Linked DNA regions of Bombyx mori. The protein of the gene in region 1 interacts with the protein of each later gene in a biochemical or structural test. Links are inferred from orthologs where the notes say so. Each region holds a gene or a part of one and is shown on either strand. Other genes may lie near its edges.

Evidence for each region.
Region 2: the proteins of ESC (region 1) and nuclear inhibitor of protein phosphatase 1 form a complex in vitro, tested with the Homo sapiens proteins (2 studies listed by BioGRID). The link is inferred for Bombyx mori from reciprocal best matches to the Homo sapiens genes EED and PPP1R8.

The regions. Positions count from the first base shown.
Region 1 is NC_085112.1:13,493,875-13,498,599, forward strand, and holds the end of ESC (extra sex combs), read left to right. Parts: coding exon 1-150; intron 151-1,199; coding exon 1,200-1,316; intron 1,317-2,073; coding exon 2,074-2,163; downstream 2,164-4,725. UniProt on the Homo sapiens protein: Polycomb group (PcG) protein. Component of the PRC2/EED-EZH2 complex, which methylates 'Lys-9' and 'Lys-27' of histone H3, leading to transcriptional repression of the affected target gene.
Region 2 is NC_085126.1:4,084,763-4,090,324, forward strand, and holds part of nuclear inhibitor of protein phosphatase 1, read left to right. Parts: intron 1-258; coding exon 259-361; intron 362-901; coding exon 902-985; intron 986-1,749; coding exon 1,750-1,960; intron 1,961-3,430; coding exon 3,431-3,533; intron 3,534-5,562. UniProt on the Homo sapiens protein: Inhibitor subunit of the major nuclear protein phosphatase-1 (PP-1). It has RNA-binding activity but does not cleave RNA and may target PP-1 to RNA-associated substrates. May also be involved in pre-mRNA splicing.

The DNA.
Region 1 (4,725 bases):
TGTGAAAACGCTATAATCTGCTGGAAGCCGGGCCGACTTGAGGACACGGAGCTGCGGCCCGGGGACAACTCCGTCACCATGGTGCATCGCTTCGACTACAAAGAGTGTGAAATATGGTTTATACGATTCGCTGTTGACTATAGTCAAAGGGTAAGCACATTCTCTAGTAGATTGCGTTTGGATATTTTAGAAAATAATATTTTTCTCTTTCTCTGTTATTTTATGGAGTTGAATCTTACAATTGAATAAATTCATTGCCCCAATTAATACTTTAAACCTAAATATAACAATGTAATCACCATACTCGTCGAACTCGACAAAGAGTTCGCCGTGCAACCTAACCCATGAATCAGCTCGCTGAGTTGCTCGCCGGATCTTCTCAGCGGGTCGCGATTCCGATCCGGTAGTAGATTCACGATTCGCGAAGCAGCTACTCTTGAGCTGTTAGGTCTCCTTCGGAGGCGCTCGGGTAGCTGTTAGCAAATCCCACCCCTCCTGGCTGAGCCTTTGCTCGCCCACCTGTCCTGGTGAAACTGGAAAGACCTCCGGGCCACCAGTAATCCTTCAATCATAAAAAAAAAAAACAATGTAATAAATAAAACGCCTTGAACATGACATGTCATTTCAACTTCGTAGCCAGTCACCGTCAACGTCTTAGACAAGTCCTTACGGATCCATCAGATCCATTAAACTCAGTACTACACGCCTTCAGCTCTAACACTAGCAGCAGGCTTAGCGATCTGGGGGTAGATTCTGTGAAGCACTACACTTGCTAGGGTTAATTGTTAGCATATTCTCTCAGGAAGTCGTCGTCAGGTTTGAAGTTGTGGCCTAAAGGATAAGACGTCCGGTGCATTCGTATCTTGGAATGCAACAATGTTCGAACGCTTTCTACCGTGAAGCAGTAATGCGTCCCGATTTGAAGGGTGGGGCAGCCATTGTAACTATACTGAGACCTTAGAACCCAGGCGCATTTACGTTGTAGATGTCTATAGGCTCCAGTAACTACTTAACACCAGGTGGGCTGTGAGCTCGTCCACCCAGCTAAGCAATAAAATGAAAAAGGCAAAGCCCAAGAGCTCATCTACCAGTCCGAGCATAGTTAGAATAGCCCCTTCGGCTATCAGCAAATAGGTAGGAGAGAAAAGGCAATTTTTTACGAACATTAATAATGAAATCATCAATGTATTTGATTACAGGTGATAGCTCTAGGTAATCAGTGCGGTAAGACCATGGTGTGGGAACTGGGGAACGTGGCTGGAGGCTCCCGAGTCTCGCAGCTCGTGCATCCGAGATGCGTTGCTGCGGTCAGACAGGTGAGGGGCACGCTGTTTTACTTTGTGAGTCGTCGTGGCCTAAAGGATAAGACGTCCGCTGCGTTCGTATCTAGCGATGTAACTGTGTTTGAATCCCGCAGGCAAGTACCAATTTTTCTAATGAAATACGTAGGTACTTAACAAATGTTCACAATTGACTTCCACGATGAAGGAATAACATCGTGTAATAAAAATCCAACCCCCTAAATTTTTTATTTGCGTAATTACTGGTGGTAGGACCTCTAGTGAGTCCGCGCGGGTGAGTACCACCACTCTATTTCTACCGTGAAGCAGTAATGCGTTTCGGTTTGACGAGTGGGGCAGCCATTGTAACTATACTGAGACCTTAGAGCTTATATCTCAAGGTCGGTCGCAGCATTTACGTTGTAGGTTTCTATGACCTCCGGTAACCACCTAACACCAGGTGGGCCATGAACTCGTCCACCCATCTAAACCATAAAAAAAATTAGTTATGACGTTTAAATATGTATATAGTTAAATACATAATCAACACCCAGACAAATCAGTAATTACGCAAATTATAATTATGCGGGTCTGATTTTTACTACACGATGTTATTCCTTCACCGTGGAAGTCAATCGTAAACTTTTTTCAAGTACATACATTTCTTTAGAAAAATTGGTACCAGCCTGTTTATCAATCTCTGGTAATCTCATAACACAGGAAATCCTAAATTGGTGTCCGATGACTGCCTAAATTTGTTCCCAGTTATTTATTTATTATTTTCCATTTCCAGGTAACTCTCTCACGCAACGGCAAGATCCTACTGACGTGTTGCGACGACGGCACCATCTGGCGGTGGGACCGGGTCTCCGCCAGCAACTGACGATAACTCCCAGTACATCTGTGCAGATGTACTAAGTTAAATTTTAAAAATAAATCACTTCTATGTTACTTGTTCTGTTAATTCTCCAAATTACCTGATAACATTATACAATGTGTCCGTGCACCAGTTTCGGAGGCTTAAGGGGGTAAATTATGGGGATTTTTATCGACAAATCACTATCCCAATTTTCCCTTGGCCCCTCCATACTAGAATGGCAGCCATTTTGTTTTTTTTTCTACTTTGCAGCTCAGGCGCCTGCACTGATTTAATCATTGCTATCGATGTAGACGTCTTAGGAAGACGAATGAGGTGTCATTTGTAAAGCTAACAATGTAGACAATCATTTTATTCAATATCTTTTTCATAAAATACCAAAAAAAGTATTAATAAAATGAAAATTATATTTTGTTATTGCATTTTTTTTCTTTTCTCATAATTCAGGATATTTTCATTAAAATAATCTTTACATCAAAGTCCTTCATGATAATTTTTATTAATATATACTTAATGCCGAAAGTATCTGCATTAATATTTATTTTAATAAATAAAAAAACCACACTTTTCAAACTTTTAGAACTTTAAAAAATAAAACGCAAATTTATTTCAAATATTTAATACAATGACCAACAATTAAATCTACGTAATTAACAAAACGAATCACAGGGGTTCAAGGTGTCATTTGTGTTCGCTACACTCGATTAATATAAATTAGGTACACGTAATCACATACACTCGAATTCTAGATTACTTCTAAACGTACCCGTGAACTAATCGCTAGACGTTGAGTGAAACTAGGGCTGAACGACAGCCTGTGCGGAACGGAATACTAAATATATGCGATGCTTTCATCTTATTGGTAGTAGGACCTCTTGTGAGTCCGCGCGGGTAGGCACCACCACCCTGCATATTTCTGCCGTGAAGCAGTAATGCGTTAACTGCGTTGACACTTAACAGCCCACCTGGTGTTAAGTGGTTACCGGAGCCCATAGACATCTACAACGTAAATGCCATCACCCACCTTGAGATAATATGAGTACTAAGTTCTCAGTATAGTACAACGGCTGCTCCACCCTTCAAACCGAAAGTCAATACTGTTTCACGGCAGAAATAGGCGAGACGATGATACCTACCCGTGCGGTCTCCAAAGGCACTCTACCACCAATAAGCAATGATTTACAAATTCGAACAAATTAAACCACAATCTGCAATCACGAACGCAGTTATTCAAAAATTTGTGTATTTCAAAACGAAAGAAATCAACGCCGGTAGAATTCTTCAAATACTATATGTAGGGTCATACACACATCCTTAATAACGTACGTGGCGTGTTACCTGGCTACGTAATGCAAGGTGTCATCTTCACCATTCCACGCATTGTTGACGACAGTCCAGGCGAACACAGTTCCACTTAGATAGCTATAATAAAACTGTATGTACCTACTGTATATTCTGTAAATATACAAGTGCGTGAGTTAATAACGACTTTCATTTACAACAACTGGGCTAACCCTAAACTATAAATAAGACTCATGATAAACCAATGGAAAATGGAATTACTATCCATCGCTCTCTAACCGTTCCGAACAGGTGACGTCAGCGCTAACCTGCTACACAAATCTATAAATCACAACTAACCACTATCAATGACTGTAATTGAATATTTACTCAACACTTTCATTTAATTCAGTCTTTAAAAACGTTACAATTAAACGAACAATAAATGTTTAGTAACAAAAAAAAATACACGATTTTTTTTTATCCTTTCTAAATTACATTTGTCATACATTTATTGTTTTTTATTTAATAAAAATATTGAGATTACAAAGTGACTAGACGATAAATTAATATTTAGTGACAAAACATCTATCACTAAAATGACATTGAGTCCGTTATAGTATCATTTTGATTCCGCTTTGGGTTATGTACACTTCGTTCTAAATTATGAATGTTTATACTGGATTCCATTTGACTTCATTATTTAACTTGTATGAGTTGTTTGGGTTCGATTACTGTGAAAAAAATATAATTGATTGTATTTTATTATATTTCATAATAAATGGATGTAAAATTCGCATCTCTATTAAATGTGGCCAGCACCAAATATTTCCTGAAAAGCTGTGCAATCTCTATTTTCGTTACTTGCTCGTGTAGAAAATGTTATATGATAGGTATTTATGATTATTATATGTTTTACATTTTTTTTAATCATACGCACAGTATGCGCTTGCCGAAATAATAATTTAACCGAAATCTAATTTATATTTGTTTATGTCTCTTTTTGATTGAGCGCCATTTTGAATTCGGTCTAATCTGTACCGACTGCACAGACTATATGATTACTATCTTTATAAATTTTATTGCCTTGCGATATGTTTCACATTGCATAGCAAATTCCCTTTTTTTGGGAGCAGGAGGCTAACCTCCTACGCCTCCTACGGTCGTCGTGGCCACGTGGCACTTGACGATGGAACAAACTGCTGCTTTGTATCAGATTAAACCAGCCAATTAATTTATTACCTACTGTACTGTTTTCATAATCCTTGAGAACGTCAAATTAAAACG
Region 2 (5,562 bases), on another chromosome or scaffold:
AATATTAACAAAATTAATATGTACACAATTTTATCATACTTTAAAAGACAGATAACGTAACTGGTACAAAATAAAAAATAATGTTGCAAAGATGATTAATATTAAAAATATAACCTGTTAAACCTTTAAAACACTCTCCTATAAAATTAGTAAGTTTTGAGATAATACAGTTTTAATGCGAGAAGACGATATGATTTATTCTGTTCATGGATTCTGAATTATGAAGTGTCTTTTAATTAATGTATCAATGGTTCACAGAGAACGCCCGACTGGGACATCGCGTGGTATAATGGAGGATCTCCCTAATACAGAAACTGAAGGAGCATTGCTCGGCCTGCCTGAAACACAAACCGAACTAGATGTAAGATTTTGTTCTTAGTATAATTTATGTAGAAAAGGGATCGCAGCGCATAAAATAAAAGTTATACTATTCCAAAATCTTCTATTATAATAGTAATTAATAATTAACACTAATTTTATTATGTCTTACTCATTTTTCAAACGTCTTCGCCATCTTCAAATTCTCTGTCATTCTATCTGTCATTCTCTTCTCCCTTTCTTTCCGTTTTCTCTCACTCACATCTTAACGCTCCGTTCCACACTCTTTTCATACGTTCCGTTCTTACCAATCCTACATTTATGTGTATTATTGAGTTAGATTTCGATTTGACTTCAATACTCCTTTCTCGATTTCATGCTTTGGAGCCCTTGTCGGTATGGCAATAAGCTTAGAATACTGCTACTAAGGAAATGTTATAGATATAGTATTTGGCGTTCATGAAGACCTATGCTCTTCCTCTAACCAATATGTGGTCTGTGGTCTAAAATTATAAACATAAAATATTTTATTGAACTTAGGTAGCTGTGTATTGTTAATGTATTTTTGTACAATGACTTACAGAACTTAACTGAATTCAACACAGCCCACAACAGAAGAATATCGATGCTTGGTATATCAACCGAAGATGGAACTGATGTTATCAAGGTGAATAGTATATTCTTGTAAAAAAGTGTATTTAACATTTTAATGTATATATTGCTGTAAATATGAAGATCGACTAGTGAGTCTTTCCATACATGGTTCCCAAAGTATTTTGTGGTTACCAAAATGATTGAGATGAAGTCCCAATTGTGTTCTGTAACAGTTGTTGCCACTTGAACGCATGATAGCTGTGCAGTGAAAATATAGTGGTGTCACCATCCACTATGTTCCTCTTAGTCCATGATACCCCCTTAGTATGATTAAAACAGTTCAGTAATTCAGACAAACATTTCTGTTATATATACCTAACCTATTATATAAGTAACTAGCAGTACCCGTCCACTTCGCTGGGAATTTAAAATTAATATTATTATTTCTCACCCCCACAAAGATTCTCATCATTAACGCCCCCGCAACTGGTGTAGGGAGTCCAACACTCATATAAATATTAGCCTATCCATTAAGTACATGTATTTTCTACGTGGATACCAAGTTTCAAGTTAATCGGATGCATGGTTCAGTAGTTATAACGGAACATCCGTAAAAACCACTGTAGATTTATATATTAGTATAGATACGACCTCTTAAATTTATCGAGAACATTCTGGGCAAGTCGAGTAGCTTCGATGTGTTTCCGGTATCTGACAATGATGGCGTTGTACTTCTCGATCTTTCTCGGCGTTACTAGTTCCTTTGATATACGTTTCGGCTATCCGGACGATAGATGGCGTTACTCTTACCGGCGTAACATTACTATCGTTTTTCAGCCGACAACCGGTACGAAGCGTACCGTTTCGATGCCGGTCGGTGTGCCGAAGAAGCAGAAAAGAAACGTGTCTTTCAACGAAGAAGTGGACATTATCAATCCCGAAGACATAGATCCGTCCATAGGCCGTTTCAGGAACTTGGTCAAGTCGACGATCGTGCCGAATGCGAACGCCGTACCTAAGAAGCTGAAGCTGCAGAGCGCCGAGGAAAGTAAGTCGTTCAAGTTATGGACTAGCTTGTCCTATACTATAATATTATAAAGAGGAAAAATTTGTTTGTTTGTTTGTCTTGAATAGGCTCCGAAACTACTGAACCGATTTGAAAAAATCTTTCACCGTTTGAAAGCTACACTATTCCCAAGTGACATAGGCTATAATCTTTTTTGAAAAAAATTTAGGTATCCTCACTAAAACCCCAATAATGTAATCCAAGGTGTAAAAAAAATACCTAAAATATTCTTTATATCGCGTGCTCTGCGAAAACTATTGATGATAGAATAAAAAAAATGTACTACGACTTTGTAGAACATATTATTATTTATAAAAAGTGTCGCGACAGCATATTATGTCTAACTATTATAATTATGCCGCAATAAGTGTTCTTTTATCTTAACAAAATGAAGCTTCAAATATCGTTGAAATTTTTGTTAAAGACCCGAGCGGAGCCGGAGCGGCCCGCCAGTCCTATATATACGTTAACACACTGACTGGCTGGTTGTCACCGGATAGTTGTCATACGATTCAATTGAGACCTCATGTCTTAAGGTGACAATATTCAGATTACGTCTATGAACTCTGGTCTCCCTTTAACATTTTGATTGCGATGTAGGTCACCGGTGCCCTACGCGGCGTACTGAAGTAATTATGTCGATTTCTATTAGTAAGCGCATCTGGATTGCCTAACTTTGCCTTCTTTTGTTTTTCTGGCCGTCTGGTGTAGTGGTACGTGACATGGTCACTACACAAGGGGGTCGCGGGTTCGAATCCCGCCAAGGGAAGATTTTTGTATGATAAATATAAAATGTATTTTCCTATGGATGTATATTAAAAAATATATATGTATAATAAAAATCTTACATTTATTTCCGTTATCTGGTACCTGTAACACAAGTTCTATATGAACTTAGTACGGGACCAGTGAACGTGGCGTGATTGTTTATAAAAAAAAAGTATGGTTTACTCTTTTAGGTCTCTAGAAATATATTCAGTCTCAGTATCTTAGGATTCGTCTTTGCCAGATTCTAACTAGATATTCCGGCGTCTTAGTAAGAAGATCGAAGAGAGAAATCGACATAATTACTACTTCAGTGCGCCGCGTAGGGCACCGGTGACCTACATCGCAATCAAAATGTTAAAGGAAGACCGGAGCCCATAGACGTAATCTGAATGTTGTCACCTTAAGACATGAGGTCTTAATTGTATCGTATAAGGACTTTCACGCCAGATGTACTGTTAAAAGTGAGACCTTAGAACTTATATCTCGAGGTGGGTGGCGGCGTTTACGTTGTAGATGTCTATGGAGTCCGGTAACCACTTAACACCAGGTGGGCCGTGAGCTTGTCCAACCATCTAAGCAATAAAAAAAGGATGGAGGAGGATGGAGCCACTAGAGGGCCAAAACTGAACTTAAATGGGCTCAGACAAAATGATTTTAATATTGACTTGTTAATATGTATTGCAGATCAACATCACCACTCGTTGAGGCTGCAGGAGATATCTCGGGGAGGGAATCTGTACTCGGATTTGCCCGCACCGAGCTCACATCTAAGTTTGATCGGGGCTAGGTATGTATTAATATTCATTATTGAGCAATGAGAAATTACCCCGATCTATTAACGGTGCTTTTAGGTACCACAAGCACCGGTCACCGTCCTCGCCGAACCTGTCGCATGCGACGAAGGGCTCGACGAGCGAATTAACCCATAGACACAGCCCACTGAGTTTCTCGCCGGATCTTCTCAGTGGGTCGCGTTTCCGATCCGGTGGTAGATTCTGCGAAGCACTGCTCTTACTGGGGCCAGTGTTAGCAACATTCCCGATTTGAGCCCCGTGAGCTCACCTACACACGTTTGGGTGAAGCTGAAATAGCCTATCAGCATAGGTAGGTTTTTTTTTTTTCGTTAATATTATATTGACATGATAAATTAGCTTGTATTCATAGATGCGATTTGTTAAAATAGTTTTGTAATTATAACCAAGAACATATTTGGTTTATAGTTTAATATTTAAACAACCGAATGTACTGCAATATTTATATATAATATGTATATATATATATTTCCATCCCAGAGCGCATGTTACGTCCTATATGGCGGTTTTTACCGATGATATTGCATCCGACCGACTTATTGCGTCCTGTATATGGACGCAAGATTGTCCATTTCTCAAATTCAGCCAGAGGTAGCCGAAAGATCCGTACAATGCGTGGGTAAAATATTGGCATGGACGTTATTTTGTCACCGGATTGATTCTCACCGTATTTCTTAGTTCCGCTGTTTGGCACGCGAATTTTGGAGGTCGCTTCTCCGCGGCGTATATCGGTAGCGTATATTGGATATTTTTTTTACGTAAATTTCACCGATAATGTGACTTCTGTATATAAAAAAATTTCAATTCAAGTTTTTATCAATTCCAATTTGTGGTTTAATTACGTCACACAAAATGACCCCGTTCCAAGAGAAACGCGGGAACAACAGGGGTGAGGGGGCGGAGTTAGAATGCGTCATGCAAGCGCCGTGATTTTGTTTGCAATTCTGTTCCGGCCGGCGCGGGCGCAACGACGACTATAGTGTGAATATCAGTATATTAGAGAATGTATAATAATACTTTTTATCAACGAAACACGTGAGCGGAGCCGCGGATGAAAACTAGTGTTACTTACATACGCATTACAGAAGTTTATTCAGTTATAGCCAATGATAAAATAAACTAGACTTTAATTAGTCGTTTTTAAATAATTCTTATTCTTAATCGTAATTGATATGCCAGTCTCCTTTCATGTTCAATTTTCGCAATTTTTTTGTTTTTGTTTTGTACACACTTATTATTTAATTATGAGTATTGTTTTTTGAATTATATAATTATGGTTTTAATTGTACTTAATTTATAAAAATAAATAATAGTTTAAAAAAACTAAAAAACACGCTTTATATAAAATTCAACTAAAAAATAGAAAATAAATTTTTATAAATTTAAATTCAAAATAGTGTAAAAAAATACATATTTCATTGTAAAAAAAGCGTGGTGTGCATGGTGTTATTAGTTATAAACATATTTCTGATAGATATGAGTAGAAGAATTATTATTTCAATAATATCTTAAAAAGCACCTCACGCTTTTCTTACAATAAAATATTTTTTTTTTCATTCATTCATTCATTTTTTAGTTGAATTTCAATTTTTTCAATTTTTTTTTCCAATTTTGAATTGTCATCGGTCCTCGATAAATCTATAGAGTTTGAATGAAATCTGGCCGTTTAAAGTGGGTCAAAATCGCGTCTAAAGTAGTCAGTTACAAACATACATACAAGTGAAGTTAATATAAAGCGTGTAATAAAACTTGATAGTATTGTCGAAAAAATTGTTTTATTTCGTGTTCATAGCTAAATTTATAAAAATGACACTCATATAAATAATGTACTCACACATAAACCTAATTGGAAGAAAGCTGAGAAAGATGAGAGAAAGATGTTTAATCTCGTCTAGAGGAAACCCGAAGGTGGATAAGTTATTTAGAGGGATTCGCGCCCTTTCACCAAGCGTACTGGCAACTAGCTAGGACCCTCAAATCGGAAACGATCGCCAATATACATTC